4 linked regions of the Lytechinus pictus genome follow. The main gene of each other region encodes a partner of the protein of the gene in region 2 in a complex. Links are inferred from orthologs where the notes say so. Each region holds a gene or a part of one and is shown on either strand. Other genes may lie near its edges. The genes, in order: smad nuclear-interacting protein 1-like, U5 small nuclear ribonucleoprotein 40 kDa protein-like, protein CWC15 homolog and cysteine-rich PDZ-binding protein-like.

What was found.
Region 1: U5 small nuclear ribonucleoprotein 40 kDa protein-like (region 2) and smad nuclear-interacting protein 1-like share a complex: the UniProt entries of both Homo sapiens proteins name them as parts of the minor spliceosome. The link is inferred for Lytechinus pictus from reciprocal best matches to the Homo sapiens genes SNRNP40 and SNIP1.
Region 3: U5 small nuclear ribonucleoprotein 40 kDa protein-like (region 2) and protein CWC15 homolog share a complex: the UniProt entries of both Homo sapiens proteins name them as parts of the minor spliceosome. The link is inferred for Lytechinus pictus from reciprocal best matches to the Homo sapiens genes SNRNP40 and CWC15.
Region 4: U5 small nuclear ribonucleoprotein 40 kDa protein-like (region 2) and cysteine-rich PDZ-binding protein-like share a complex: the UniProt entries of both Homo sapiens proteins name them as parts of the minor spliceosome. The link is inferred for Lytechinus pictus from reciprocal best matches to the Homo sapiens genes SNRNP40 and CRIPT.

The regions. Positions count from the first base shown.
Region 1 is NC_087248.1:10,825,810-10,833,879, reverse strand, and holds the start of smad nuclear-interacting protein 1-like, read right to left. Parts: upstream 3,662-8,070; 5' UTR 3,617-3,661; coding exon 3,473-3,616; intron 1-3,472. UniProt on the Homo sapiens protein: Required for pre-mRNA splicing as component of the spliceosome. As a component of the minor spliceosome, involved in the splicing of U12-type introns in pre-mRNAs. Down-regulates NF-kappa-B signaling by competing with RELA for CREBBP/EP300 binding.
Region 2 is NC_087245.1:8,205,811-8,213,878, forward strand, and holds the start of U5 small nuclear ribonucleoprotein 40 kDa protein-like, read left to right. Parts: upstream 1-4,275; 5' UTR 4,276-4,650; coding exon 4,651-4,767; intron 4,768-8,068. UniProt on the Homo sapiens protein: Required for pre-mRNA splicing as component of the activated spliceosome. Component of the U5 small nuclear ribonucleoprotein (snRNP) complex and the U4/U6-U5 tri-snRNP complex, building blocks of the spliceosome.
Region 3 is NC_087260.1:19,048,979-19,057,397, reverse strand, and holds the start of protein CWC15 homolog, read right to left. Parts: upstream 3,754-8,419; 5' UTR 3,642-3,753; intron 3,497-3,641; exon of another isoform or gene 3,409-3,496; intron 2,397-3,408; 5' UTR 2,366-2,396; coding exon 2,235-2,365; intron 1-2,234. UniProt on the Homo sapiens protein: Involved in pre-mRNA splicing as component of the spliceosome. Component of the PRP19-CDC5L complex that forms an integral part of the spliceosome and is required for activating pre-mRNA splicing.
Region 4 is NC_087251.1:29,280,613-29,289,033, reverse strand, and holds the start of cysteine-rich PDZ-binding protein-like, read right to left. Parts: upstream 3,794-8,421; 5' UTR 3,425-3,793; coding exon 3,409-3,424; intron 584-3,408; coding exon 518-583; intron 1-517. UniProt on the Homo sapiens protein: As a component of the minor spliceosome, involved in the splicing of U12-type introns in pre-mRNAs. Involved in the cytoskeletal anchoring of DLG4 in excitatory synapses.

The sequences.
Region 1 (8,070 bases), on a different chromosome or scaffold from region 2:
TTGCACACGACCCTTACGTTCTACGTCGTACGACGCTGGGCGAAAACGCGCTATAATCTATTTTTAGCACTCTCATCTCAGAGTATCAGTTCCTGTATTTATTGCTATGTCCCACAGGGGAAAGTTATTTTAAACAAGTGGAATGCCTCTGGCCGTCTCACCTGCATCACGCGATTCAATATAGCAGCAGTGCTGATTTTGAAAACTACTATAACTCGCACAAGATCTTCAGTGATACTTGGTTACTCTTATTTCCACGTTTTATGAACTAGACCAATACACTTATAGAGATATGATGGCAATTCAACAAATACCCCCAACGTGGCCAAAGTTCTTTGACCTTACATGACCTTTGACCTTGATCATGTGACCTGAAACTCGCACAGTATGTTCAGTAATACTTGATTACTATTATGTCCAAGTTTCATGAATCAGATCCATAAACTTTCAAAGTTATGATGGTAATTCAACAGATACCCCCAATTCGGCCAAAGTTCATTGACCCTAAATGACCTTTGACCTTGGTCATGTGATGTGAAACTCATGCAGGATGTTCAGTGATACTTGATTAACCTTATGTATAAGTTTCATGAACTAGGTCCATATATTTTCTAAGTTATGATGACATTTCAAAAACTTAACCTTAGGTTAAGATTTTGATGTTGATTCCCCCAACATGGTCTAAGTTCATTGACCCTAAATGACCTTTGACCTTGGTCATGTGACATGAAACTCAGGCAGGATGTTCAGTAATACTTGATTAACCTTATGGCCAAGTTTCATGAACTAGGTCCATATACTTTCTAAGTTATGCTGTCATTTAAAAAACTTAACCTCAGGTTAAGATTTGGTGTTGACGCCGCCGCCGTCGGAAAAGCGGCGCCTATAGTCTCACTCTGCTATGCAGGTGAGACAAAAATGTTTGTATAATAAACAAAGACAATCTCAATTTATCAAGACATGATTTCTCCTAGTTCATTAGAATTTTCTCTATTTAGACGTTATCGTTTGCAGCTTTCTGGACAATCCTGGTTTTTCAACCAGTAGCGTAGTCTGATCTAACTAGTCACTCAAGGGTTCATTACATGCCGCTGCACACAGAAAAATCAAGCCATAGAAGTCGTGTGTTGTGGACACCAGAAGTGGGATCGCAGCACGCGCGACCCACTAGTTAGAAATCCACTGCCAAACGCGGTTCATGGTGCGAGGTTAGTATACTAATACTGTCCTCGCAATACATGTGACTTTTTGTGAGTGGATCTAGAGTAGACTAAAGCTAAGTTAGCCCTCTTTAGGAGATTAGCTTTTGTCTATCACTATTTAAAGTTGAAACTAGCGAAGAAAAGGTCTGATTTTGAATGCGACTCGCGACTTTGAGTCTGAAAGAAATCAAAAGACCCATTATAATCTCAGTCGTGGGGAAATAGATTAAAAAAGAAATGAGAAAGAAGACGAAGATCATAATGATGATCATGAAATGATGAAGCGACGACGGCGACAATGATTGATGTCTGATTAATAAACACCCACGGCTACATCTCAGCCGCCGACTACAGAATAATTGAAGGCACGGCGCATTCAACAAATAACGTTAATTTACGAAAAATTAATACGAGGACTTACAGAATGAAGTCCTCCTACGAAACTAACGAAACGATGTGAAGTCAATTCCTCATAATTTGATGAATATCCCTCAAAATGCGTCATTTAAGCGTTGATTTTACTTCTCGTTGACAAAATACGAAAGCTACTGTAGGATTGTTAATTTGTCATTTACCTACTTTGTTTATTTCCTTTGACTTGTGTTTTCTTAAGGTGTTTTACATTTCTGTTCTGTCTAGATCTTAGTTCATTTGCATTTCTTTTCAGTACTGCCCTTGCAGTCTGGACTAAGGTTATTTGAGTTTAATGATATTCAGTTGTCATTCATTCATTCTACTCTGAATGCCTTTCCTGTGTTTCTCTTGTCATCTTCATTCCTTCTCTATTCTCTCTTCAGGTGTTCCACTCATTCCATCCCTCACCTGACTCCTTAGTTTTTACTTCCATTATTACATAATCACCAGACATCTTTGTCATCTCATCTCATTCCTTATTGGTTTATCTTATGAATTGGGTTCTTACATTTTAGTTCGATCCTTCCATTTTCTTTAGTTTGATTGGTTATTTCTAATTTAAATATTTATGTAAATTATACTGTGATCCAAAGTTAAGCTGAGGCAAAATAGCCCAGATATTAAACAGTGTACAACCAGACTCCTTCGGTTTAAGTTCTCTTCATTTTGCGTCTGCTTCATTCCCCTTCAGTTTGATGATTTAGAACTTCATTTATTTTCAACTCCAAACATATAATTTTCTTCAACCCTACACTACCTTTCTAGCTCTCAAATTTTTCGTCTAATGAGCGAAAGAGGGCGCGCGATTTATCTTCATATCAAAGACACTACAATTGAAAGACTAGACACAGAAATTATCTTACACGTAAATCGATGCAAAGCGTTACGCGAAGTCGGCAGTGTTCAATCTTTTTACTGTAAAGACTTTGGTGGAACATTAATTGACAAACGAACGGTAGCACTTGCGGGGCTTTGTTCAAGGTACATAGAATTATCTATATTTTTTGTTTAATTTGTCATCGTTTTGAATATTTTCCAAAAAGTATTATCGTCAGCAAAAATAATAAAAAAGTACTTTTTTTAAGTTATTGCATTTATTGGGGTCTCTATTTTATCAAACAATTATTGGAATTGCGCATACAATGAATCATGAATCTAGTTTAAAAAAAAACACACAGCTGAATTAAGGTTGTGAACTGTATTAGCGCCACCAACGACCTCCTTATTATTTCCGTGGAAGAGACGTGCGAAGCCACTTTCCAGGCGGAGGTAAGCGATTTTGCTCTTTTTTGTATCCTTTTAAATTAAAAAAATATGTTAAAAATTGAAAATGGAACGCTTTATACCATAAAAAGCCCTGGTGAGTAGCGGAATGGGTTTCGGCTAACATCATTCACGTTATGAAGCGATGTTAACGACAACTCTAAAATCCACTACAAAAACATGATGGTTGTGCGAGGACGAGGTTCGTATACTATATTATAGGCCTAGTTAGTATAGAATATACATTTATAGTTTAAATTATACTAACCTCGCAATAGTCAGTGTGAGTGATTAATAAATGATGAAGATGATGACAGGGGCAAAACGGTGTACATGATTGACGAATAAGAAATAACAGTCGAAGTTTCCATCCATAGCCATAGCATAGGCTATAACGTTAGGTATTGCTTCGGCTTTTGAAATTAGTTTCACCATACATACCGTACCAGCCCGCCAGCTGCCCTGACCTCGCGCCTCGCCCGGCCCTCGGGCTAGGGCCGGGTTAATTTTTTGTGCATGTGCCATTCGAGGTGTCGCAGCCGGCAGCCGGATCTGTTTGGTCTGAAATTGTAATAAGTTGCTCCGCTACGTACCGATTTTTCAGAGCGATGGGATTTACCATCCTTTTCTCTGTTACTAGTTTTCGGACTTCTACTGCGAGATCTTGGTCTATGACTACGATGTCTATCGTAATCGTCGTGGCTTCGATGTTTTCTTGAGTCTGACTTTGATGACATTTTTCTCTATTCTGCAAAAACTACATTAATGCCCAACGGAAGATGGCGCTATAAAAGAAATCAAAAGACCGTATTTCTTTTAACTTTATTTGGGGAGGAAGAGATAGAATAAAACGCAAGGTTCTATATCAAGACTATTCTGTTGGAGGACTGAGAGCTCCAAATTTTGAGGTCTTTGTTAAGACCCAACGAATAATGTGGATTAAACGTTTGCTAGATGGAGGGAAAAGTTCGGGTTGGAAAGCAACCTTCGAATATTTTTTTAGCTCTTTAGGTGGTCGAATCATATTTCTGTGTGATTATGATACGATTAGAATGAATTTAAAAGGTATACCATTATTTTACATAGATATGCTGAAGGCATGACACGAATTGGATAAGTGTAGACATTTTGGAGGGAAAAGTAATCCCATTATTTTTAATAACAAGCGTCTATGCCTTAATAATAAGACCTTTTTTATATTGAATTATTTCAGAAAGGTATAGTTAAGGTCTCGGATATAATAGTTGGAGGTAAATTAAGACCAGTTTCATACTGGTATAATCTGAAATTTTCATCTGAAAACTTGCTCAAAATTCAAAAGATATTTTCAGTAATAACAGAAGAGTGGATACAAAATGATTTTATGGAAATGGATACAGACAACTTTGAAATTCAATTGATGATATGTGGGCATGTTCAGAAACTATGTGATATAAAATCTAGACGAATATATGACCACTTCATTGAAAATTTTCAAATTGATTATGTGCAATGCTATGCAATAAACACAGAGAATTTCAATACAAACAATTACAAGGGGCTGTGTACACAAAAAGGGAACTTTTTAAATTCGGTTTTGAGACAGATAATTTATGTTCCTTTTGTAAAAAAGAAGTTGAGTCTTACCAACATTTATTTTTTTATTGTCCTGAAGTTAAGCGATTATGGGAAGAGATGAGTAAAATATTTCAACTGAATGAACTTGGCAGTGACGTTTGGAAAACAATTTTCATGGGGATATCTGGAAATACTACAAGAGTAGCTTTAATAAACTGTATTATATTCTTAATTAAGTATATCATTTTTAGTTCAAGAAAACAGGGAATATTGCCAACCGTACAGAAAGTGACACATTTGGTTAAAGAGTATAGAGATACGGAATATCAAATAGCGTTTAAAAAGGGGAAGCTGGGGGTGCACTTAAGGAAATGGGAACAAATCAATGCATACCTTTCTTAATACTATGGATGTATTGGTTGCTTCATTTTGTTTCTGTTTTGTTTATTTGTTCAAATACAGATAATTGTACCAGAGCAGGATGCATTGTGTGTGGGTGTACGTGTGTAGATGGATGTGTGAGTTTTGTGACGGGGAAGAGGGGGGGGGGGAGCTGTGAGTAGTGGTGGTTTGAAGTGAGCTTGTGTGAGTGTCTGGGGAGAGAGATGAGGGGGGGAGGGGGTATGGGGGTATGGGGGTAAGGTGAGTGTGTAGGGACGTTTTAGGATAACCTTCCTCTAATTAACCTTTAAAATAATATTTTATCCTTTTTTTTTTCTTTTTTTTCGTACAATTAATATGTGCAAAAGAGATTATTTCTATTCTATTCAGGGAAAAATTCATTTTTTACAAAGTACGTTTTTTTTATTTTTGTCGATTGATACGGGTTTTTCCCCTCTGCTTTCACATTGTTATAGAAGAGAAATTTGGCAGTTTAATTTAATTTGTAATCATTTTAAAAATATTCGTAATCTCATTGATATTGATATATTTATTTGTTTGATTGTTTATTGATTGTATACATACAAAGAATCTTTATTTATATGAATTGTGATTGTAAACTTATTGATTTGAAAGAGGAAGAAAATAAAATATTATTCAAAACAAAAAAAAAGTATCTCAGTCGTGGGGAAATAGATGAAAGAGAAGAAAAAAGAAAAAAAAATGAGAAAGAAGAAGAATAATGTAAGAAAGAAGACGAAGATAATGATGATAAAGCGACGACGACGACGATGATGATGATGATTATGATCAATATGATGACAGGTGCAGATCTAGCTTTTTTCTAAGGAGGGGATTTTGACCGAGAAATTTGACAAGCAAGCAATAAAAAAAAAATGTTGGTTTTTTAATGGTTTCACTATCAATAGAAGGTCATTTGGGTACCGAGAAATGTTCTTGCAAGACAAAAAAAGGGGTTCACTACCAAAAGGAGGTCCTTTGAGTACTGAGAACTTTTTACACCCCAAAAAAGATGGTTTTAAAAAAGAAGGTCATTTTACCAGAAAAAAAGGTTCACTATAAAATGAAGCTAATCAGGGGTTTGATCCGAAATGTAGATTATTACTTTTTTTTACTTGGCAGCCCAAGAGAGGGGTTAAATCCTTAAACCCCAATCAACTGGGTGCCAAACAAAATACGAATACATGGGATTATTTTGTATTTGTAATGTGATTTTAACGGAGGGAACTATAGCTATATGCTTTCCAGAAGGTTCCCATTTCATTTTAATATATGCTGTATCATAATTCCGGCACTTTTTTTTATAGTTTTGTTGAAAATTTGAAATGAAATGAATTTGTTAAATAAAAATGGTAAATCAGCTCAGATTTCTTATTCATGAAAAATTGTTTTTCAGTTTGAAAATTCCTGAAAAAAAAACTAACTGGCAAAAAGTGTTTTCAGATTACAAAACATTCTTGGGAGTTGTATATTGTGAAATATAAGATAACTTTTTGCCAGTTAGTTTTTATTTTTATTTTTCCCCAAGTAATTTATGGAATCACACAATGACTACCACTTTGAACAAAATATGTAAATCTGAAATCATGAAGAATAATGGTTTTCAGCACCTTTTTTTAAGAATAGTCTAATAAAAGTGTTTAGGCGCTTTGAATATTTGAAAATCTGATAAGATACTTGAAATATTATATATTGGTTGAAATCTTGAAAATCAGCCCCCAGATATACAGTGCGTATACAGTTTACATTTAGAAATAATGCTGTAAAATTATAGATTTGTAATATCCTGAAGCTTTTTTCCACATGTAACCATTTGTACAGATCTCCTAAAGCAAATGACGATATATAACTGTGAGTACCACTTAAAGGACAAGTCCATCCCAGCAAAAAGTTGATTTGAATAATAAAAGAAAAATCCAACAAACATAACATCGAAAATTTCATCGAAATCGGATGTAAAATAAGAAAGTTATGACATTTTTAAATTTCGCTTAATTTCACAAAACAGTTATATGCACATCCTGGTCGGTATGCAAATGAGAGAACTGATGACATCACTCACTCACTATTTCTTTTTTATTTTATTATATGAAATATGAATTATTCTAATTTTCTCCTCATTGTCCTGCGAAATGAAGTTTTATTCCTACCTGAACATGTGGTATTACCATTCTTATAACATCTTACGGCTCATTTGCAGGTCACTGAGTTGTGCATATAACTGTTTTGTGAAAAATAAGCAAAACTTTAAAATGTCATAACTTTCTTATTTTACATCCGATTTTGATGAAATTTTCAGCGTGATGCTAGTTTGATTTTTCTCTATTGATTCAAATCAACGTTTTTCTGGGGTGGAATTGACCTTTAATATCATTTTCAAGCTTGGGAAAAGTGTGGAGAAACCCCGGGGGATAAACAAGTATTAATGAAATGTGGTCCCACTTTAAATGATAAAAACTTAGTGCGGCATGTAGATGTCTGAAATAAACTTTTGTTTACATTCAGTTGTGTCCTCAGATCCAGCTGGCACAAGAAAGGAGTAAAGGTTGAGCGTACTGTTTTTATTTCAATTCGCTAAAAATACAAAGGAAATGTATGAGAAATGTACCTTACCACACGGTTAGTTTGCTTTCGCCCTTTGTGCTTGACATAGCGTCAAAATGAGCATTTCTGTGCAACCGATTTCTGCAAGCTTAACAAAAATCAATGGACAGTATATTCACTCAAGTGTAACATTCTGTCAAAATGTTTACTTTTATTTGATAGATGTGACCCAAACCCAAGTATATAAGTGAACAAATTATCACCATGTTGTATATTTTTCAATTCCCAGGACTTTTTCAAAGTGTATTGATACCCATTGTAGATAGATAGATAGAGAGAGAGAGAGATGGAGAGAGGGGGAGATAGATATATGAGGAAGGGATATAAATCAGGCTTATGAATATCCTTAATTCCTTTCTTTATTATATAATGATCAATTAATCATTCCATATAGCGGTAATATCTTTGAAACAGAAATTGAATGAAAAAAGATGTGGATACAGGAAATGAAACATGCGATGTCACATGGACCTGGGAAGCGGGGGTGCTGGGGGTGCTGAAGCACCCCCAGAAATTTTCATGGGGGTGCTGCGTGTATTATTTTCCATAGGCAGCACCCCCACGAAATCAGGTTCCCCCTGTATTTTTTTAATATGTTTTAATTTACATAATTATCTCATCCGACAAT
Region 2 (8,068 bases):
GCCCTTAATTGTAAGTTGAAAAAGAACGATAATGGATTTTCAGTACAAAGTGTTGTATAGATGAACAGAAATATGTGAACTGACTCCCATTCAGAGCTGCGTCTTTTCCCACAGGAATTCCACAAGTGTCTTCTCCTAAAGTTACCTTATAACACTGTCGTAAATTTATTTACCGGTACTGTTTTTGTTGTATAATTCAAAACCTTTCAAACTTTTTGCAAGAAAAATAGAGAAATTTGGGATACTTTCTCATTTCAATTCTGAAGTAGTTCCAATAGATTCTGATAGAACTGTATGTAAACATAGCTTTGCTCCTCACCATGGTGTAAACCAGTTCAGTTCCACATTTTACTCTTATTCATTTGTTTGTCACTTTATATGGTCCAAATTACAATCGTCATTTCTTGTAATTCATGTTTTTAAAAATTGAAATGTAAGTAGCCTTATTTATACAACTTCTTACCCTGCTTTGATGGAAAAAAAACAAGTGACAATGTGATATTTTTTTTCAATCACAAGTGAAAGTGCCCTCACTTCCGCAAAGATCAGTGGATCAGTATTACAATACATCCTTATTCCTAGCATGAATGTTTTGCATACTGTATATATCAAGGAAGAGAGCAACAAATTCACATGTTAAAACATATTTCAATGATATCATATGTCACTGTCACTTGAATCCTTATGTCAAAGTAAGGTAGTAAAAGTTGTAAAAAAAGGGGGGGGGGTATCCGGCAAAATGTATTTGTCACTGGCGTAAATCCTTGCGTCACACCTGTTGTTCAGGGGGGATGATCTATTGTTCCATCCCCCCCCCCCCCCGAAGAATAGGTGTGACTCACGGATTTACGCCAGTGGTATTTGTAATCATTCATGCATTTTGTTTTTATTGTTTTCAAAATTGTGAATGGCTTTCCATGAAAGACTTGTTGTTCAGAAAGTTTTGAGTTTATTGTTCATGTGGAATAAAGGATGTACATTTTGACTTATGAAAAATACACATTGTATGACAACTGACAAGAATTACAAGCAACTTTGGCCTGCCATCTTTTTGTTGTTGATGTATGACTCTGGATAGTAGGATGAGCTATGCTATCTATCTGACTTATTCATTCATTTTTTATATTTAGCCTTCATTCAGATCCAATTCTACCCATGCTCTCCTTTTCTTTCTCTCTCTTTCTCCAATTGCCCCCCTCTAACCCTCCATCTGCCCCCCTCCCTCTCACCCCCCTTCTTCTCCCCCCCCCCCCTTCTTCTCCCCCTTTCTTTCCTGCAGTTGGATGTTATTTGGTCACTCACCAAATATTGTTTGCGACCAATGGGCACCAACACAAAAAGGGCCCTTAATGGCATATGACACAAACTAAAATTGGTACCTTATATTTATCATAAACATACCCAAAATGGTGTTAATGCAGTAATCACACAGGTCAAGAATATTTAGTGGCATAAAAACCCTAGTTAATGAAGACAGAATTTGTAAGTTAGACCCTGGATGTCATAAATGGCACTTAATTGAAGCATCCCCATTTTAAAAGAGGAAATTTGACCCTGTTTATGTGTTTCTTTCTTCTCTTTTTTTTTGTTTGGGGGTGTTTGGAAATGCATTCGTAGCACAATGTGTAGTAGTATGTGCCCTTCTGATTTTGTGTGTTCTGTTGATTTGATTGATAAAGAAATTGATTGTGGAGTTATTGTCTGATTGGAATGGTCTGATTTGTTATTAAAAAAAATGTTATCCAATGTGAATTGTGTGTGGTTGTTAATATGTGTGCCAGGGCTACCCCATGTTTTTGTTCCATAAGGGGGGGGGGACAAGATGACCCATCTTTTTCTCAGTTGAAGTACAGCGTAACAGAAAATTAAATACCAATACCTTTTTTTATGATATTCTTTCTTCTCTCTTTGTATTCCTCTCTGTTTTTTTTTTTCAATTCCTCTTTTTTCACTACTTGTAAAACCATAGTAGTAAGGGGTGGTATTCTGAGATCCATTTTATCTCAGATAAAATAAAATATTTTATCTCCGTTAAAATCAGTGAGATAAAATACCCTTAAAATCTCTCCGAATTGGTATTCTGAGAACAATTTTATCTTCATTTTATCTCTGTAAGACACACCTATTTTTCAATCAATATCCAATCAGAAACGCGCTTTTATAGCTCTCTCATATCACTCAACCAATGGAAATCCATTCCGCTAGGAGGTGTGGCGAAGGAGTGAGATTGCGTCAATTTATTGACTTCAATACGCTTGCGCGTCTTTACAGAGATTTCTTTTTTTTAAACAAAAATGGCAATAATCTCATCTTTTTTTCGAAGTCTATATCGCATCTATTAAAGCATCATTTCAAAGACGATATTAGTCAAGAAAAGTCTTATGAAATGATTCCTGATTGTACAGGAATAACTTTATGGTGTTGTTCTCAATGAATATATCATTTTTCTTAATTTTCATGCCAACATTTGGAGTTAATTCACCTAGAAATATTGACGAAATCAACGTCGCGGAGATAAAATAGCACCTACCCTCTTTTAAGTTTATTTTATTTTTTCTTCAAAGTAACTTGGGCGCAAGCACATCATCCGCGTTGCAATGGCCAGATACGCAATGGGTATGTCTACGCAGCCACTGCTCTTTTGCATATCATCATAGATACGCAAGATAAAATTTATACGCAAGATAAAATTTTAAATTTTATCTGAGAGATAAAATGTCATCTCAGAATACCAATTTCATTTTAAGAGATAAAATAAAATATTTTAAAGATAAAATGACCTCAGAATGCCGCCCCTGGTCTGTTAGCGAAATTATGTGGACACGATGGACAAAAGCATGATTTTTTCTCCAGACCTTTGTTTATGTATAAGAAGTAAAAATGGGGTATGCTCCAAAAAATCTGGCTGCAGGAACAGTGAAAAAATGGGTGAAAATGTCAGAATTTATGAGTTTAGATTGGTCTGATATATAGACTAGCGCTAGTGCAAAACTCAATAGCAGTGCATTATTTTGCATAGGTTTAGTTCTTGAATTCAGACCCCTTTTGAACAGATTTTCTGTTTGTCCTCGCATCTCAATGCACCAAATATCTGAATGCAGATGCTAAACAAGCCGAAGGGTGGCGGTGGAGGGGGTTGAATGTTGGTGTGTATGTATATATTTTGGTCTTGGGGGTAAAGATGTGCAATACACATTTTTTGCATGTGTTGGAAATTGCGTTGCCATGGTAACAGTGTATTATGGCCCAAAATTAGGTAAAAATATTGCAGTTAGAACTTCTTCCTCTGTTTTCAGAAAGACTTTACAAATTGCTCATGTTAAAATTGTTCTTTGGAATGGGGTAGAGAGGAGATAGAACTTTGTGAACTTTACTGAAGAGAACTAGAGTGGTACCTTCAAGAAGGTATTTAGAAAAAGGCACAGAGTAAGGTAAGGTATCTAATAGTGCTCAACTAAGGAGGGAGGGGGGGGGGTGGCTGTGTGCTCCAATCTTAGTCTAGCCCCCCCCCCCCTCTTTATAAGCCATGTCATCTATAAAATTATCTTTCTTTCTTTCTCTCCCTCTCTCTCTTTCTCTCTCTCTTTCTATCTATTTATGTATCTCTTCCTTCTTACATCTGATAGGCAATAGCCCTAGGAAGATTTTGATATACTAGTAATAGGTCAAATGCAAATGTACTAAAGTAATATGTTCTCATTCTTTTATTGTTTCCTCATTCAATCTTATGTATATCTGGTAATTATATAATTGGGGCAGTTCTGGTATCCTGATATCTACACAAAATTTACATACACCTTTATATTACAAGGTGAACAGGGGCCTTTATATATTGTCATTGCATTCACTGTTGGGCTATATGCAGGTAGGATATGTAGACATCCATATAGTGAATATAACATATATGAGTAACACATTAAAATGGGTCATTGCATAGAAAATAGGCATTTTCAATGCATTTCTTTGTGCTAGCGTGAGTGTACAGATATAAAAGAATAGCAAAGTAGCTATTTAAAAAAATAAAATTCATAGGTCATATAATAAAGGTGCCATGAGCCTAATTACATTAGGAGGGCTAAAGATATTCGTTCGACCCAACCCATTCGAATTTTTTCAATTTAATATTGCTGATTGACAAAAGTGTATGAATATGATTCAAAATCTAACACTGTTTCTAGAAATGGTAACTACTGAGCTTCCTTTGCCCAAATTGGGAAGATATATCAATGATTTGGAATTATTTTTGACTGGCGGAAGAATTGGGGCTATTTTACTGTTTCAGTTGATGAATTTGATCCCATCATATAGTTATCTTCATAAATGGCGATTTATTTTTAAAATGAGCTGGCTACGATACCCTTCTCTGGTCAGATATGGAATGTCAGATATATATCCTATCCAAAGGTAGTAAACATTCGACCCTCTAATTTCACATTTATTTTTTATGAATTTTTCTGAAGTGCCATTTTAACACACAAGTCTATGGGGAATGTTTTACGCGCGTGACACCGTAAGATCGTATCTCTGTGAATGCCAACTACTATAGCGCCATCTTACAATGATATCTAGCCAGCTAACTTTGCACGGTGCATGGATCCAGTGAAGGCCCACCGTATTTTTTTTTAGTTTACATTTGCACATCTCGAAATCATGCCGGTGATGGACCACAAACGGAAAGCAGAGGAAGGTGCTTTAGTTGCAGTTAAAAGATCGAAGCATCATGAACTTGTGGCTGCAAGCAATCAACAAAATGCTCTCATGCAAGCGGTAAGAATTAACTTTACTCTTTAGTAAGCAAGAATAGACTACTCGACATTCTCACAATGACTATCATACGACTGTATTCCCAGTTATGCGATTTAGCTTCCGTGCCATGCGAACATTACAATCACGAAATCGTGATAGACTTCAGAGAAGAGGCGGTTTATACTAATTGCACGCACCGTTAACAGGGATGGCTTCCTATGTGGTAGACTCTGAAATGACTGGAGAGAAGAGTTTCTGAATGTTTGTCTATGCCCAGCTTTTAGCTTTTTTTGGTGACTTGAATACAAATAATGCTCCCTTAATTTGACATACGTGTGCAAAGAATCAACAGATGACGGTAAATTCATGAAATTCCTTGGCGCTAATGCAGTTTGAACTAGGCCTAGTTATGTGACAAAAAATAATAAAAAAATTATCTGATAGTGATATCAATAAATTTGGTGTCATTTGAAAACTCTTAAAAGGCCTTTCAAATGATACCAAGAACTCTAATTTTCATCAAGGAATTATAAAGTTATTTCAGTTTAAGTTGCGCATATTCATCTAAATGTGTGGCCGATGTCTTATTCTTAATGTAAAGTCAATGTAATACATAACCGATTTTTGTGACCTTTTGAACCCAAGTCTTCAACAGGCTCTAACTTCTTTGTTTTGGGGCCCTTTGGAGTAATTTTGGTATGAATGGAAAGGTGAAAGAACGCTCAATTGATGTGTAATCATGTCACTTTGTAATTTTTTTCTTAATATGTGTACAATAATTTCTTCTAATTAATTCAAATTAATTATTCCAATTATGCATTGTTTTTGCCAAATGATGGTGATCATGATAGATAATTTATGAAATTTAGTTGGCATCGAAACAGCATCATGTGGGAGATAATTTTCGGCAAGACTTCCCTAAAATTAAACAAAAAATATGGAGAAGGTTTGTCAAGAATTAAATATACTCACTTGTGTTAAAATGTATTTTATTGAAATATTTATACTTCTTGATTTGTAGGTTTTTTATGAAGATTGTGGTAAATAAAGTTTCAATTTCAATCTAACATATATCTAAGAGATTTAGGAAGGAAAAGTTGGATACATACCTGATACCAAAATGTGGCTTTATTCCGTCAAAATCTCGAGTGTGTGTAATTCCCAATGTCATCGGTTTATTTAGTCAGAAAAATAAATACCCAATACTCTTGGAGAGTAGACTAGTCGTAATATCGGTTGATAACCGACACACGATAACCGTTATGAAACCCATGGCTTTCAACAATTCCTGGTACATGTAGCTCAGTGAGTAAGGCGACAGACTGGAGATGCTTCGTTCTGCAGCGAGAGGTTCGAATCCAAGTTCCAAGCTAAAGTAAGAAGAAAAAAAGAAGATAAAGAGAATGAAAGAAGGGGGTTTTGGAGAAGTATTTTTTTTAATTAGTGGAGGGGACATAAAGAAATCTTTCCTAATTTTCTTAATGAAATTGTTTAAAGTATAGTTTTTGTAATTTCTAATGTATTTCTTTGTTTTTCAGGTATAAATTACAAGCCTTTTTTCAACTTCAGTATTGTATACATATATGTATGGGGTCTTTTTTGACATGAAAATTATCATTTTGTATTTTGTATGGTTTAAAAATAATGTACAAGTGTGCTATTTTCTAATGTATTTGATTGTTTCACCAATTCCTTCTCTTATGTATTTTATAGTTTCAACAATTTGTTATACATGTAGGCCTATAATAGCTTTTGATTTTAGAGACCCTGGGCATTTGATTACAATTTAATTAAGCTTTGATATATTTTATCAGTTTTCAATGCATTTCTTAGATTTGTATACATATTATGAAGGCCCTGTTTGAGCTCCCTTTTTTTTAAAAAGAAAAATGAATAAATTCAGATTCTAAAGTGAAATCACTGCATATAAATGTAGACATACTTCCATACTATTATGAAACAAAACAACAAAATTAGCAAGATTTTGTGGAAAAGAACTTCACAATCCAAACTTACCAATCTCTCCATTGATAAACTTGAAAGGCACCAAATTATTGGTTGAAGACAAAAGAAAAGGAAACGAGTGGTCTATATCTTTAAAAAAAAAACCTGAAAAAAAAACAGATATCAAAGCTCTAAACAACAACAAAAACAGACATCAAAGCTCCAAACAACACTAAAAACAAGAGAAACAAAAGTGACACAAAAACTTGTACAAATCCCATCCCCATTTTCCAGTTAGAGACACAACCCCCCCACCTGCAACCCTCATGCAAAAAAAGGAAAATTTAAAAAATAGGGGGGAAAAAAGATTGATAAAAAATACAGGACTAGACCCATGTGGAAATGAACAATTATTTCCTCTGAGTTTTCATGTATTTCCTTACAATCTTGAGTGAAAAAATCAAACAACATAATTTTTGCATTTTAATTTAAAAGTCAACATTCATGATAGGCCTATTCCCCTTTCAAAAGCAAATCCAGTCTCCAAATAATGAAACATGATTTAAAAGTTTCCATATATATTTTTTCTACAAAAGAAAAAAAATAAACACCATAGATTTTGCATTTTAATTTAAAAAAGTCAACATCAATGTTTCACTTTCAAAAGCAAATCCAGTTTCCAAATGATGAAACGTGATTGAACAATCAACCACCTTGAGTCACATTGGGAGGAAAATGTATTTTTGCGACAAAATGTATGTATTAAAATCAATATCAGAATAATAAATCTATGGTATAATGACAGAAATTTTCAGAAAAAAGCACAATATTATCAAGTAACAAACAATTCAAGATCCAATTCAATCCAGCATGAACAACTCACTATCCACCGCTCCCGTCACCCAGCCCACGGCATCGGGCAGCTTGACTGCCGAGAGACTGCCGAGAGACTCTTATATCTGGCCTGCGTGTTGATAGAATCAGCTCAAATTTTGATATTTTGCAGATCAATACTAACAGAAAGAGTTGGCGTCCTTGTTTGGAAACATATTTTACTTACCATTACAAATTTCGGTCATTTACGCATCCAAAAATTTGATGAACTTTCAAGCGGCGATAAAGCCGCGATATCCATATTGAAACTTACATGTACAGAAAGTGCACATCATCGACTGTCTAAAAAAAGGCATAAAATCGCAGGCCACAAGTTGCGCATGCACAGTAAACTCCATTTTCGAGGAGAGAGCCAGGACAGAAGCGATGCCACTTGCAGTGAAACTGTGCACGGCCTGTGCAGCCAAAACCAGCGCTCGCGATGCGGCGGCATTCGCACATACCTGCTGTTTCTCAAGTTTTGCTCCGGCCAACTTCGAGCAAA
Region 3 (8,419 bases), on a different chromosome or scaffold from region 2:
ATTGAGAAAAGAGATAAAAGGACTTTTTAGTTAGGCTGCAGTGGGGTCTATATTCAAATGTGGATATAGGATAATCAGCTAGTATCCTACAGCTTTATCTCACTTTTTTGTCATTCACAGATTTATTCAATGGACCTCCACTGTCTGTAGATTAAACTAGAGATGCTCGGCGGGTCGCGCGGCCGAGCACATGTATCCCCCGAACCCACCGCGTCATCCGTCATTGCGATATATAGAGCTCACACAGATATTCGACAAATAAATACAATTGTCATGGCGACAATGACCCTGCCCACATTTTGCCTGTGGGTACCAAATTTGATGACAATAATATGACGTAGCAGCATGACTCTGCAGAACCTAAAATATTGTCCAGTATCATGTGTTGGGGAATACAATTATAGAGTAATCTGGAAATATTTTATAAACCTAACCCTAAGACCCCCCAAAATGATAGGCATCTTCGCTTCACCTTCTAATATTGCTTCTGAGTGCCAACTGTTATTTTCCACAAAAATATGGTTACCATGGCAACCAAGTCTCCACCCACTCCAAAATCATTAGGCGGCTTTGCTTTACCATAATGGACCTTCATGACAAATCAGAAGATAATTGGAGAAGAAATGCAGCCAATAGAGCACTCACATGGAAATAGCTGCTATTTCCACAAAAAACTCGTTACCATGGCAATGATGTCTTCGCCCACACCAAAATCAATAGGCGACTTTGCTTTACGATAATGGACCTTCATGCCACATCTGAAGATGATCGGAGAAGAAATGCAGCTGTTAGAGCGCTTACAAGGACATCTCTGCTATTTCCACAAAAACTTGTTACCATGGCAACGATGTCTCTGCCCACACCAAAATCGATAGGCGGCTTCGCGATACCACACTCAACCTTCATGCTACATTTGAAGATGATCGGAGAAGAAATGCAGCTGATAGAGCGCTCACAAGGACATCTCTGCTATTTCCACAAAAACTTGTTACCATGGCAACGATGTATCTGCCCACACCAAAATCAATATGCGGCTTTGCTTTACCACACTCAACCTTCATGCTACATTTGAAGATGATCGGAGAAGAAATGCAGCTGGTAGAGCGCTCACAAGGACATCTCTGCTATTTCCAAAAAAACTTGTTTCCATGGCAACGATGTCTCCGCCCACACCAAAATCGATAGGCTTCTTCGCTATACCATACTCAACCTTCATGCCAAATTTTAGAAAATACACTCATATCTAACTCGATACAGTGTACAGACACTTAGGCCATGAGAAGTAAGGTATTAGATTTGCATCCGAAAATTTTTCAAATGGCATGAGGCTTATTATTCATTATCTAGCGCTAGCGGCCGTGTACATTTTGCTTATTACATGACGTCATCCCAGCCACTGCATGCCGAGAGCCAATTTATGAATGAAAATATAGTAAGCATGCGCATTGCATTGCAAGCCTTCCATAGCCCCACACAGTATTCCACCAAAACAAGTGTGCAATTCTCTATCACCTCGTACCAAAATCGACCTAGAATTTCACTTTCCTATATTTTATATGAATTATGAAAGGTATTCTCGGAAGATCTATTTTCTCACCGATACCGCACAGGTAAGTGAATTTCGATTACTTCTTGCTTTTCGGTCAAAATCTTACGAATTAGCGTCGATATGGCATCGGGTTCGTTGGAGTTTGTAGAGTCTATCGCAACGTGTACAAAGTCAATTGATTTCCGGGTTTGGGAGCGTCGCGTGAATATGCATGAAATTACTGAGTTTCAATAATTTTTGATCGATACTGGAGCGATCCGATCACGAACCAAGACCATTTCCCGCGAAGACCATGTGACCGGATATCGTTATCGCTTTCGATACTTTCGCACGCAGTCCGAAGGAATTATTTTGGCGACCACGTAGTCATGACGTGTTCTGCGCGATTGGCCAATCAGCGATCTCCGATTCGCTTAGCCGAGACAGTCTATCCGTTGTACACAGTCTATGGACAATTTGCCACAGCTAGCTTGCTGTGCGAAGATCGAAGGTGCGCTGCAGTGCTATACCGTATGCACGTAGTAAGTGCGTATTTACTGCCCTGCGATGATTTGGAAATTGTAATTTCGTAATTTCGTGAGTAAGTAAATGATTTTTTTTTTTAATAATGAAATTTTCGTGCGGGTGGTTTTGGAGCATGCGGGCGGTGGACGCAAATCTAAAACTTTCATTCTCTTGGCTTTACCTGTATTTCAACTTTGTATGCCCTGGGAGATCACGACTGGAATACTGCTTGGATAGAGCACTCAAATCCCCTTCTCCTTTCCCACTGCCTCCCTTTGCTGGGTTGAACGTTGGTCGTGCTGCTGTTGTCATCTTCGGCTATCTATCCTTCCTTCGTCGACTACTGAATTTGATATCAGAGAAAACATGTAATCTGGTTACACTAGAAGCAGAGATTAACCAAGTAAACACAAAACATTTTCAGAAAGTTTTAAAAAATAAAATGTCTTCAAATTCTTTAGGCACTTTGAAAACAGCAAACTTACATGCTACAAGGGGCGGTTACAAAAAAGTTGCAAGCAAAGAAAAAGGTCTCCAAATAAGTAAAATGTGATACCAACCTAATTCATGGCATTTGAACCTCCATCTGATACAATTATCTTACCTTACCAAAACTTGTACACATGTGACATGCAATACATATTTAGACAGATAGAATCTAATCATAATTTTTTTTTAAATCGGACTAAAATTGTATAAGAGTAACAAATTTCAGGCATTTCATGTGACGACCTAAAAATGCAGCCTTTCTCGTCAAAATCCCTGAATCGTGTGTAAACATAAAGTGAATGGATCATTGACATTGGTAGACCAAAAGCTTCAGTCTCTGTATTTTGGTTGTTCCGCTGAACTACGTTGGCTCCACTCACCATACATAAATGGGTAAATGGGGATTACAGTAAAATGTCAGAAATTGTTGAATAAATCCCCAGAAACGACGGTTATTCCTGTCTATGACATTGGGTGCAGTGCGCGCACGCAGGCATTTGTTTTGTACTTCAGTTAACTTCAAGTCAAACTGAAATTTAAAAAGAAATGACTGGCCAAGGTTTTTTCCAAGAAAATCACATATTTCTCTCACACTTTTTATGAATTGTTTGGCAGACATACGGTAGGTGACATGACACCAATTTCAATGTATGGGACTGTAAATGATTTTTTTTCGTGATCTGATACCAAGCAGGGAGTCATTAAATGGATCAAGCCAAGGTAATGCAGGTGTTATATTTCTGTACAATTGCGGGAACATATGTGGGAGGTAATGCATTCATACATGTAGAGAGGGTTATGAATCTATGAAACGAGAAGCATAAAGAATAATTAAATCTATAATTTAGTTGTGAAACTCCACTTACCCAAACTAAACAAAAACGCAATTTCGCAAGTCTGGCTATAATCGAGTCGCGATTGGCGCCATCTACAGGTAAAAATGTGAAGTACAAATTTCGACAAAACGGAAATACCGTGGATATCACAAGAAGAAGAAAGCTAGAAGACATTTTTTTTACTTTTCAAAGTAAATTTTATTTACAATAAAAAAAATTTTACAAATAAAAAATATGTTATCAATGTTGCGCTTTACACTTACAGTGATCGCATTTCAACCACTAATTACGGGTAACATGTAAAACAACAATTAAGCATGCATCGATCGTTAAAAAAAAGTAAGCATAATAGTTACAGGCATTGATTATAAGAACAAGAAACTGTGATGCCACCTGGCACGAGTGGAGGGCAAATAGGACTCAAATATAAGAGCCGCTAAAAAAGAGGGAGATATATGTACAACTATCAATGCATAAAAAAATCAATAATATTAATGCAAAATATACATACTTAGATTAACCATCATCTAAAATGAAAAGTTGTTATAAGACTTTTTTTTCAAAAGCCAAATTGTTCTGTACTTTAAGAAAAAGGAGAATATTTCACCGGGAAAAAGAGAAAAGGGAGAAGGAGTGAAAGGGGAAAGGGAAAGGAAGAAAAAAAGAGGAAAGGGGGAAACTAAGGGAAAGGGAAACGGCCAGGTGAAAAGACTAAGGGACAGGGAGAAAGAACATAAATAGGGAAAATGGAAGGAAAGCGGGAAAAGGAAGGTGAAAAGAAAGTTCAAAATATCCTGAAATACTAATATATTAGCATGATTAGCAAGAGAGGGATATAAAATAAAAATTTAAGATATGACTCAATGATACGGGCAAGAATGGCGGGAAAATGGGAGAAAGAGACAAAAATAAACGGGAAATGAAGGTAGACCCAAAATGGCTAAATTGGAAAATCAGAATATGAAGAAAATGAACAAGATAAAAGAAAGAAAAGAATTTAATAAAACGACCGGGCTGCCGAGAATAGAAAAATATTGAGAACGGGAAGAAAGGTGGATGGCGTCTATATGAGCATGCTAAATTTAATGCAATATGGTCGCAATCAGGACAAAAAAAATAATACTAAGGGCTAGTTATTAAATCCCTCTATGTCCTATAACCTAAGTAAAGCTTTATGCTGGGTATCGAAAAAAGCCTCATAATGTTTGCTATTTGGCTATAGATTTCCAAAGCTACTATCACATAATTAGAATTTCATTTCAAAATCATTTGAAAAGGCCAAATTTGCTATGCTGTGCTGCCTCAAAATATTTAGTATATTATCCGCAACTGCGTTGAAGTTATGTGTTTTTATGTGTATATACCCGCGATTTGATAAAAAAGGTAGCCATCTGCAATGTTTAAAAACATCATGGTAGAATTATCCTTAATATTAATAATCGGTCACATGTTTCTATTGACTCAATTCATGAAATAATGGAATGGCAAACCCTGAAGTCTAGGCAAAACTTTCATATTCAAACAATGATGTTTAAGATCCTCCATGATTTGGCTCCCAAATATCTAACAAAATACATATTTTACACCTCAAGACCTTACCATTTTCGAAAAAATAATTTGTGCCTCCCCAAACCCAGAACTAATTATTGCAAACGCACATTTTTCTATAGGGGGACTAAGTTGTTTAACAGTATCCCAAATAATATTCGTAATTGTATGACCTTAAATTCTTTTAGATCAGCGTTGTCACATTTGAGACATTGATTTCTTTTTTTTGGGGGGGTGGGGTAGTGGGGTAGGAGTAAGCAAACTGATAGTGATTTTTTTTTTCTCTCTCCTTTCCTTTTCTTTCTTCCTTCATTTCCCTCTTTTGTCTTTTCTTTTCTGTTCTCATTTTCCGCTCCCTATATGACTCTCTTTTTACTTGGTCCCCATGGAAGACCAGCCGCACATATAATTGGTGCAGCTGAATATGGGTTATCCAACCGTCTCCTGTCTTAAGTTTGATCTTTTAACTTTCTTAACATGTTTCAATCAATCATTTTTTTTTCTTTTCTTTTTTTTAATCAATGTTTAGAATTCATTTCATTATGTATGTGTATGTTACTCCTTGTATCTCTTGTTTATATATTGTTATGTATTTTTTATGACGGAAATAAAACAAACAAACAAACAAACGAGGTTCCGCCGCGGCGGCGGCCCCAGACATAGTGACGGACCAAGGGGGAGGCACGGGGGGGGGGGGTATTTGCCTTCAATGAGTTGGCCCCCCACTTGCTCCCCCCCCCAAAAAAAAAAAAGTAGAATGTTGTCTAAAGCTGCAAAGTGCTCGATCAAAACAGCTTTTTCGTTCTTTATATTTTAAAAACTTTCTTATCCATTCACTGTATATAGCTCAATTGTCAACATAAATCTTTCAGGCCATAAAAGTATATAAAATTAAAATTTTCGCTCGCGCTACTTGATCTCAGTAACTGTTGACTGAGATCATTTACATGGGGCTTAAAAGTCCAGTGTTCAAGTCAATATGCTCCTCGCGACTAGAGTTTTTTAGCACTGAGATGATACACATCCTGCGTATTCATAATTTTCATAAATCAAAATCAAATTATTGTTTAGTAAGATAGCCATTCAGTTCATGATATTATAAAGTGCTTCGTCCAGTTATCATCTCAGGATACCAAAAATTATCAGCTCGTGCGCTTCGCGCTTGCATTATTTATTTGGTGAGATATCATCTTCATGACCCAATGCAAACAGCTATATACAGTCCCTTTTAAAGCCAGGGCCTGCATTGAAAACAATCAGCTCACGCTTCTCGCTCGATTTTGTGAAATATAGGCAAAAAATCGTGTTGCCCCCCCCCCCCCCCACCAATGCCACACTGCCCCAAACTCTGATCCGCACAGCACTGGCCCCCAAAGGTTCTGCAACCGAGAAAAAAAAAAAGATGAAAGGAAAGGATAGGAAGATTTAAAATAAATTATGATGCTATTTTCTGAATACCATGGGCGGTATCAATCAAAATCAAAGTTAGATTCATGAAAGGGTGGGTTTTTTTCTCGCTATAGCTCGCTTCGCTCGCTCGAGACTTATATTTGTGTATTTGTATATTTAGTAGCTTTTGCCTCAGGCGCGCCTGGCTCTTTTTTTGTACTTATCATTATACGCTTCGGGCACAATCATAAAAAAAATATCCTGTTCAGACCATGATAAATCATGTCCGGGAAATTTGTTGCTCTTGCCCCCCCCCCCCCCCCCTCACCTCTCTAAGAGCAGTTCATGATTTGTGCTCGCATAGTGTGTTTTGAAGTACCCTGACGGTAAGTTGTTCTTTTTTACAATAATAATAAAACAAAACAAAAACGTGCTTAAAATGTTAAGCGTGTTTCAAACTGGCTCCGGCTTTGCCCTAACCTTAATAGAATGAGATAATGATCCTCTGCATGACTTACTGCAAATTGAATTAAGCCATGATCATTACAGATCTATTAATTTGAAGTAAAAAAATACATAAATAAAATAATAATGAAAATTCAGCTCGATTCAGTGCTCATATTTTTTTACTTCATGGTCCAAAAACTTAATGTTTTCATGTTATTCACGAAATATCCGAAATTGGAACTCGGCTTTGCGCTCGCATTTTGAATTAGGGGTTACATCACCTTGTTTGTATAATGATAATGTGGAAATGTACTAAAAAAACTTAGGTCTTTTGTTGCCTGGGAATATATAACCCTTCAAAATAAAAAATACTATCTACTACCACAACTAATAAGCTTTTATAGCGGCCTATCGGGGAAAATGGATGAAAATATTCACCAGATTTTCCTAAAGTTAATTAATTGCCAAGGTGAGTAAAACTTGAAATTATAGGACAAAAACATCTGCAAAGTATATATGCCAATTAAGACAACTCTTAATTGGCGTGCGGAAAAAGTAAATTTCAAAAAATATTCAGAAGAAGGCCATACTATCTTTGTTATAATCAAAGACCAAATTATCAACTGGTGGATCGAGCAGGCGGGCTGTCGATCCCCTCTTTCAGCTGGTTCCCTGATGAGCTGTTAACTTTGCTTTCACATCACGTCCTTGAAGGACTTCTCCTGTATAGGTTTTCCGGTCTTTACTTCAGGTATATGCTTGACGATTATCTAGCCGACAGTTTAAATTTGTAAAACTTCCCGCGTTGAGAAATGGAGGTTTTAACCCCCCCCCCCCACATAATTGTACAACAGATGTTTAAACCTTTCCAAATAGAGAAAAAAATAAATCAAACAAGCATAATAACGCAGTTTATCAAATCGGATGTAAAATAAAAATTAATAGTGATTTTGATGAATGATTTTCACCATCAAGCTTGTTTGATATCGATTTTTTTTTCGGTATCAGTTGTTTAAATCAACTTTGGGTGGACTCCCTTTTAATAATGTCCCTTTTTTAATAACAATAGATGCATTTGAGATCTGCCCCTATAGGCCTATATACCACCGTCCCCGGAGTTATGTAGTCCTAGAATTATAAACCTTTAATTCTCTATTCCAGTCCAGAGGATGTCCCGGAGGATCATGCCGCATTTCATGTGCAACAAATTATGAGAAAAATGTCAAATAGCTAGCTATAACGAGAATATTAATGCTCTAAGTCTTCCGAATAAAAGTAATTTTCTTAAAACGGAAACTTTCAATTAGCACCATAATATCCTTTTTGCATTAATTTTTATTGTAAAAGCAAGGAAGAGTTATTTGAATGTTGCCCTCTACTGTTCACTGATACCGATAATTTTGGCAGCCTAATTTGATCGTGAACTTATTATTGTTTATGGAATATTATAAGTCCTGACAGCTCAAATAACTCAAAAGCAATGTTGACCACAGCTATTATTTGGCTGTAATTTTTCAGACTTCAAATATAGACCGAAGAATTTGGTGAGTACCTGATAATTCGCCGATTAAATGGTTGTATTCCGAGTGATATTCATATTGATGATATTCGACTGTCACTGTCGTGTCGGTTGATCGATGAAGAGCGGTGATGATCC
Region 4 (8,421 bases), on a different chromosome or scaffold from region 2:
AGGGAACTACAATAATATCATTATCATTACTACTACTACTACTACTACTATTATTCTTATTATCATTATCACTGTTGTTGGTACTGTTGTTGTTGTTGTTATCATTATACTGTACTACAAGTTGTAAGCACCTGTTTATCATCTATTATAAAACGGAGTGAAAGCTGATGATGTGACACTCATACATCTTACTATGAAATATTTTATTTCCCTTCAATAACGTTAAACAGTAAATCTTGATTAGCTTTCTTACAGAACATTGTAAAATTTTCAATGAATTAATTTTGTTACAATTCAGTGAGGAAATTCATCCTTGAATTCATAAAAAATGAAAATATTTGATATTTTACATAATGAAAATGAAATACAACATAATATATAATATCGTCAGTGAATACTCTTCATTAAAAAAGAAGGTAGAATCACGAAAGATAGTCACTACAAAAAAATTTCACTGCAAAATTTTACATACAAACTGGTATGCTAAAAAGAAAAAAACAAAACAAAGTCCACTTGCCTGTCGTGTTCCTTGCTCCTTTTTTCCATGGATCTGGTGTTACTACTTTCCCAAGTTTCTTTTCACCTAAAAATAGTTAGAAAATGGAATTGACAAGCAAATAATTAATGCAGCCTAGATGAAGGTGATCATACACTCACTTTTGTCAATTATTCTAAAAGACTGATCATCATCAATGATGAGCTGCCCTTGGTAAAACTAGTTACAACAATTCTGAAGCAAGCCAAGTTTGGTTATTAAGAGCCTGTCTAAGGCTTTGGTGAAACATTTAAAGTTAAAGGGCCAATAAAGTGAATTATACTTGTGTATCATCCAACAATCCAACCTTACAAAAGTATAGTGACCATTAAGTCTTTCTTCAACCATTAGAATTAAAATTTGGCTTGGTTTTTGTATCTAGCACCCTTTCTCTCTCTCTCTCTGCAATGTTTTCTTAAAAAATACTTGATTCCTTGAAGTTGAACACTACATGTAGTTAAACGAAAGTAGGTAAACATTTACTTAAGTTAGTGTATTATCAGAAACAAAGAAAGATACAATTAATAGATCTACATCTTGAATATTTTCAGCCCATTCTTTGCTTGAACCAGGTTTCATATCATGTGAAAAAAAAGGGGGAAATTGCAGATATACCATTGGGCACCCTACCAAAATGATCGAGTAAATCTAGACCTTGTTCATTGAATGAGTGATCTAGATACGAGTCTACTGACTGTAAATTCATTTTCATACCTTCCATGATTCACATCAATACAGACAGTATTAGGACATTTATGAAATGGAAAAGTGCAGTGATAGGCCTCGATGTACTTGGGGGAGGCCGGGAGGGGGTACCCGAGCTATACTTAGAATAAAGTTGAAGTTAAACTTAAAAGGGAATTTCACCCGGAAGAAAGTTTGTTGTAAAAATAGCAGAAAAAAATAATTAAAAATATCAGTGAAGGTTTGAAAGATTAAGAAAGTTATTAGAATTTTAAGTTTTGGATCTGTGACATAAACGAACAGCTGTCCCATATGTTTTGTAATATAAAAATTAAAATGCATGAATTTCAAGTTTTTTTAAATAATGGTCTGTGATGACTCACTTATTTTTATTTCATTTTTAGGAACGGGAATTGGGAGTGAAATAATTTGTCTATTGTCTACTGAACATACCGTAAAAAACATTTTCAATTTTCTGAGAAAATTATATTTCATTTCATTGATTTTTTCCATACAATGTGTACTGTAGTAAAGCTGCTAGCATATGACGTCACAAATCATATCATTAAAATTCAAATACTAAGGTCTAAGTAATAGTCTAGATCTCTAGCTTCTACACTCCCTACAGTATTGAACTTTCAGACTCAGTGACTTTTTTTCAAATTTGTGTCATCATCATCAGTCTTGGAGGTCTCGAGGCAGGCTTTGCCAGTCCTCTGCCTTGGCCTCGTAATGCCGTGACTCGGACTCGTCCTCGTAGCATGCGGCCTCGATGACTCGGCTCGAGGCAGGAAGATTTAATACTAATCTGGTGAATTTAATAGTCAGTATTATTCACTATTTTGAAGTATTTTTCCAATAATATTTCATGGAAAATGTATATCCTACGATTGATAATAAAGTTGATTTGCCCATGATTTGCCTCAACGCTAAAAGCTGTGCACATCATTGCATTGCACTGTGCAGCTGCATGTATTGTGTATACGAGTGCAAGGGTAACTAGGCTGTATCGTAGGGCGAACTCGGCAGTCTATAAATCACACTTCAGTTGAACTGTTTCTTTCTCTCTTTTTTTCTTTTTAAGATATAAAATCCTTGTTTCTGAGATTCTTACATCTTGAAGTTTTCAAATTTTTTCATTGATATTTAACACATGATATTGAATAAAGTAGGAACATTTGGTATCATTTGTTTAGAGTAATACATTTTCTACAAATTTTGTACACAACATATTTGTAAAGATGGTACTATTGATGTAATGATGTTTGAATGAAGAGCAACAAATTGTTCATGCTTTTGTAAAATCTTGAAATGGGTAAGACCCTGTGGCATCAAAGACACATTATGTTGTATTTCTTGCAGGCACTGATATTTGCAAACGAGTCCTGGATGTTCTGATTATTCGACTTATGCGACTTCGACTTACGCAGAGTTAACTCATAACTGTACATAAATTATTATTTACCTCAAAGTCAACAGCTTTCCCTTTACTTTGTCATTTTTTCTCTTTAATTGTAATTGATAAAGTATTTGTTGATTTGAATCAATTGACAATTGTTGATTGGGTGAGTGATTGTTTTTGATTGATTGTATGATGTCAAACTAAAACTTTAAAGTAATTTTAAAAGGTTTAAAGTAAACAAATTAAAATATGACATTTTAATTTGGTGACTCGGACTCGGACCATGGTGAATCGACTACAAGACTGATCATCATCATCATCATCATCTGGTACAGGATGAAGGCGCAAGCCTGTAAGTGTAACTCCCGGTGGCTTCTTGTAGGATTGCTGAAAACCACTACGTCTACGAGTACGACTATGGACGGTACTTCGTGTTTTGGACATGGATTTTTCTCAAACCTTCAGCAATATTTTTCATTATTTTTTCTGCTAGTTTTATAAATAAACTTTTTGTTAGGGTTAACTTCTCCTTAAAGACAGGCTTGAAATACAGGAAGCTTACAAGTCATTGATATCAACAATAATAACAAACTCAAAGTCAAGGATCCGCTATCACTCCACTTGCCCACATATTGAAAACTGTGTAGTGTTTAACTTTAAGCCCTAAACCAAAACCAAAAATACATTACAAAAAAGGCCAAAAAAGTGAGTTTCAATTTTAAACAATGAAACTTCACTACTATAGATATAATTTATAAAATGCGAAATCATCGGCATGTCTACTTACATTTCTCGCACACCATCTTAATCTATCAAAACTTCATTGAAAGACAAGAAGCCGAATATTCAGGAAGAGCGAAAGACGATTTGTTTTGTCAGATATTTTGTGCTGCTCAAATCGCTAGAGGGCGGACTTCATCAAATCGCTCGAGGAGCTTGTCTTCTCCAGTGATGACCAGTCAGTGGTATTCTTTCGAATACAACCGAATATGCCATGGTACTTGTAAACAAAGACTTTAGAAAAAGCTGCTTGGAGTGTTTTTCAAATTAATTTTCAAACAATATCTCAGTAGATTTTGGGGTGTTAAAATTTTAAAATTTGTGAGCGAGCGAGACACAATATTCACAGGGGCCGCGCCCGGGGGGCGAAATTATTTTTCCCACCGAGTTCTGGACCAACATATGAATATTCATGACTTGCGTCTTCGGATTAAGAGTACGCATGCGCGTGGACTCTGCCTCGACCAGTGCTGGTCGTAAGCATTCACGTTCAGTTGCTCAGAATGAATATTAGCATCGTCAAATTACCGGTACTCTTACATAGTTACATATGCCTTATATATATCCAATTCTTAAACACTTTTCAAACTAGCTGCCATTAATGGCAAGACATGTGCTAGGCTAGGGCTCGCTTAGGCTAGCGCATTAACTTTACCTCAAATCTGGACCTGTCTAATGCCTAGTACTAATCAGTGTTGTAGTGCCTTGGCCTTGAACATTCAAGCCTTGGCCTTGGCCTTGAGGATTTTGAGCCTTGAAATTTCAAGGCATTTTCAAGGCATTTTGTATTATGTACTTTCATTTGTTTTATAAGTAATTATAAATGTTTCAGTTTTTTTTAAAATATTTAATGACACTATAATGGTCAATACTACCAGTCACCAGTAACATTAGCAGCAGCAGCAGTAGTAAGTGTACTAGCAGTGTCATCGATTGTAATTGTCACCATTATCAAGAATTTTCAAACAAAGAATACATCAGTTATGAAAATTAGCATTATGTATTGGTAATGTGTTGTAATCATGACTAATGATGATAATGACAGTAAATAATAATGGTCAAGATCAAGATAATAGTGCTTTGATGACAAGAATAAATTTGACATCTGACTGCAATTTTGACAAAAATTTTCGTACTTTAAACATAGCTAACTCTAAAGCACGATAACAAGGTTGATTTCTATTCCATTAGGATTTTCCTTGTATTATTTTCTTTGGCCAACAAGAATGTTTTAAGTCTTCATGATATTCTGAAAAGATTTGGTAAACTTGAACACAGTCTTCAATTTTGTCATATCCAAATGGGTTATGTCAATGGCATGATGAGCCAGAAACTTTGAGGGGCCAAGCATGGCATATAGAGCAACATTTCTGTCCAAAAAAAAGAAGAAAGCGATTGAAGCAAGCGAGTGAACAAAATTTGTCCCCCTCTTTCTATAGGAAAAGCTAATTTTGCGATAGATTGTTTAAAAAATAATATCACATTTACTCCATCTTTTCCTTTCCCTTCCCCCCTTATCTAAGTGTGTTCTTGGTGGTGGAACTTCTTCTTCTCTCTTTTCTAAATTGTATATTTGTTTTGGGTCAGATTGACAAAACAAAGGGGGAAAATGTTTACTTCTTTTTAATCATATATCGTTCAACAGTGAATTTCATTTCTCTACAGTTTCAAGGAAATAAACAACGTATTTGTTTTTGTGTCAATATGGTTTCAAGAAATAATGATTAATAAAAAAAAGTAATTGAATAATTAATTATTATTAATATTATCAACAAGTATTAATAATTAATGATTGATTAACTGTTTAAAGAAATAATTAAGATTTACCCTCTCCCAACTAAGGGTATGGGGTGCGCCCTGTTTACTTTATATCCTTTTGAATATAACTTTATTTTGTTAGTATTCTTTATTCTGTTTTTTTAAGGTAAAATAAGTGTAGAAGATACAAGAAATGAGAATTGAAATTTAAAAGTGGTTGTAAGCAGAAAAAAAAAGAAAGCTGACAAGAGTCCTAAAAAATGACTCATTTTCAGTTTAAGCATTTAAAAATTTTAACTTGCGTTTTGTGCTCTCTAGCCCCCCCCCCCCCCAAAAAAAAAAATCCCTGTAGGATTTTTATTTCCAAATGAAATATGCCCTTTTTAAAAAAGAAATATACCTTCTTTAATAATAAAACATAATACATTTTAGGTTCGAAAATCACAGATTTTGAATCGTGCTTGCATCAATTATTGTTTAGTACAGTACTAATCCTGCTCATGGTAACAAAAATGTATAGAATGTTGCTTAATGGTTGGAATATCACAAATTTTTGGCTGGCTTCCTGCACTCGCATCAATTATTGTACTCGATCTCTTCCCGTTCACAAAAAAAAATGCTTAGAGTGTCCAGTTTTCAGGTTGGAATATCACAAATTTTTGAGCTCGCGCTTTGTGCTCACACTTTTTATAAGGCTTATGAGATTATTTCATGTTTATGTTGTTTTATAAGAATAAAACTAAGAAGTGACTGATCGGGGAAAACATAGGTGAAATAATTTCGGGCCCCGTCCCCTATTGGCGAAAGTCCGATCCGCCCTCGTGACACATACACACACACCGGAAAAAATGGCCGGTGGCCCCCCCCCCCCGAAAAAGCAAGGACCCCCCAGTGCCCCCCCCCCCATAAAAAAAATCCTAGCTACGCCACTGCATTGCATGGAACGTATTATAACGTCAGGCACAAACTAACGTCAGTGATCTTGATCCCCGTCTTCCCCCCCAAATTAAGGATTTCTTAGCTGAAAAATAATTGACAAGCAAAAAAAAAAAGATCTTCACGTTCAAAAGAGGGGACATAAGTCTTTTTCTGTTGCATTTTGACATTACAAATTATTGATTTGGCTTCTCAAAGGGGGGAGGGCACGTCCCCTGGATCAGTTGTAAATTGTCAGGGGGCAGTCTGCGCCCCCCCCCCCTTGGTACACTAGTTGTTCCATGCTGATACAGCGTAGATCAGAGTCTAGATCTAGAGACTAGACTAGAACTAAGATATTTTTTAGATCTAGGACTGGTTCTGTATACGGACTAGAAATATTAAACCATGTTAAATAAAATCAAACGTAAAGTTCGGAATTTGGTTCGAAGTTTTAAACCATGGCATTAGTCGGCTATTACTATTAGTATTAGGCATTAGACAGGTCCAGATTTGAGGTAAAGTTAATGCGTTAGCCTAAGCTAGCCCTAGCCTAGCACGGTTACACTTCGTAATTCCGAAGGTTCGTAATTCCGAAGGTTCTTTATTCCGAAGGTTCGTAATTTCGAAACACGAAAATTGCCTTTATTAATCCGAACATTTGTGGCGTTATTCCGAAGGTTCGTTATTCCGAAGGTTCGATAATCCGAAAACGAAATAAGGTTCGATGTACCGAAGGTTCGTTAATCCAAAAACGAAATAAGGTTCGTTGTTCCGAAGGTTCGTTAATCCGAAAACGAAATAAGGTTCGTTAATCATTTCGTTTTCGGACTAACAAACCTTCGGAATTACGAATCTCATTTCGTTTTCGGATTAACGAACCTTCGGAATTACGAACCTCACTTCGTTTTCGGACTAAGGAACCTTCGGAATTACGAACCTCATTTCTTTTTCGGACTAACGAACCTTCGGAATTACGAACCTTCGGAAATACGAACCTTCGGAATAACGAACCTTCGGAATATCCGAACCTTCGGAATAACGAAGCTTCGGAATTACGAATGTATGCGGCCTAGGACATGTCTTGCCATCATTAATACTTGTTGATAATATTAATAATAATTAATTATTCAATTACTATTTTTTTATTAATCATTATTTCTTGAAACCATATTGACACAAAAACAAATACGTTGTTTATTTCCTTGAAACTGTAGAGAAATGAAATTCACTGTTGAACGATATATGATTAAAAAGAAGTAAACATTTTCCCCCTTTGTTTTGTCAATCTGACCCAAAACAAATATACAATTTAGAAAAGAGATAGAGAGAAGAAGAAGTTCTACCACCAAGAATACACTTAGATAAGGGGGGAAGGGAAAGGAAAAGATGGAGTAAATGTGATATTATTTTTTAAACAATCTATCGCAAAATTAGCTTTTCCTATAGAAAGAGGGGGACAAATTTTGTTCACTCGCTCGCTTCAATCGCTTTCTTCTTTTTTTTGGACAGAAATGTTGCTCTATATGCCATGCTTGGCCCCTCAAAGTTTCTGGCTCATCATGCCATTGACATAACCCATTTGGATATGACAAAATTGAAGACTGTGTTCAAGCTTACCAAATCTTTTCAGAATATCATGAAGACTTAAAACATTCTTGTTGGCCAAAGAAAATAATACAAGGAAAATCCTAATGGAATAGAAATCAACCTTGTTATCGTGCTTTAGAGTTAGCTATGTTTAAAGTACGAACATTTTTGTCAAAATTGCAGTCAGATGTCAAATTTATTCTTGTCATCAAAGCACTATTATCTTGATCTTGATCATTATTATTTACTGTCATTATCATCATTAGTCATGATTACAACACATTACCAATACATAATGCTAATTTTCATAACTGATGTATTCTTTGTTTGAAAATTCTTGATAATGGTGACAATTACAATCGATGACACTGCTAGTACACTTACTACTGCTGCTGCTGCTAATGTTACTGGTGACTGGTAGTATTGACCATTATAGTGTCATTAAATATTTTAAAAAAAACTGAAACATTTATAATTACTTATAAAACAAATGAAAGTACATAATACAAAATGCCTTGAAAATGCCTTGAAATTTCAAGGCTCAAAATCCTCAAGGCCAAGGCCAAGGCTTGAATGTTCAAGGCCAAGGCACTACAACACTGATTAGTACATAGGCATTAGACAGGTCCAGATTTGAGGTAAAGTTAATGCGCTAGCCTAAGCGAGCCCTAGCCTAGCACATGTCTTGCCATTAATGGCAGCTAGTTTGAAAAGTGTTTAAGAATTGGATATATATAAGGCATATGTAACTATGTAA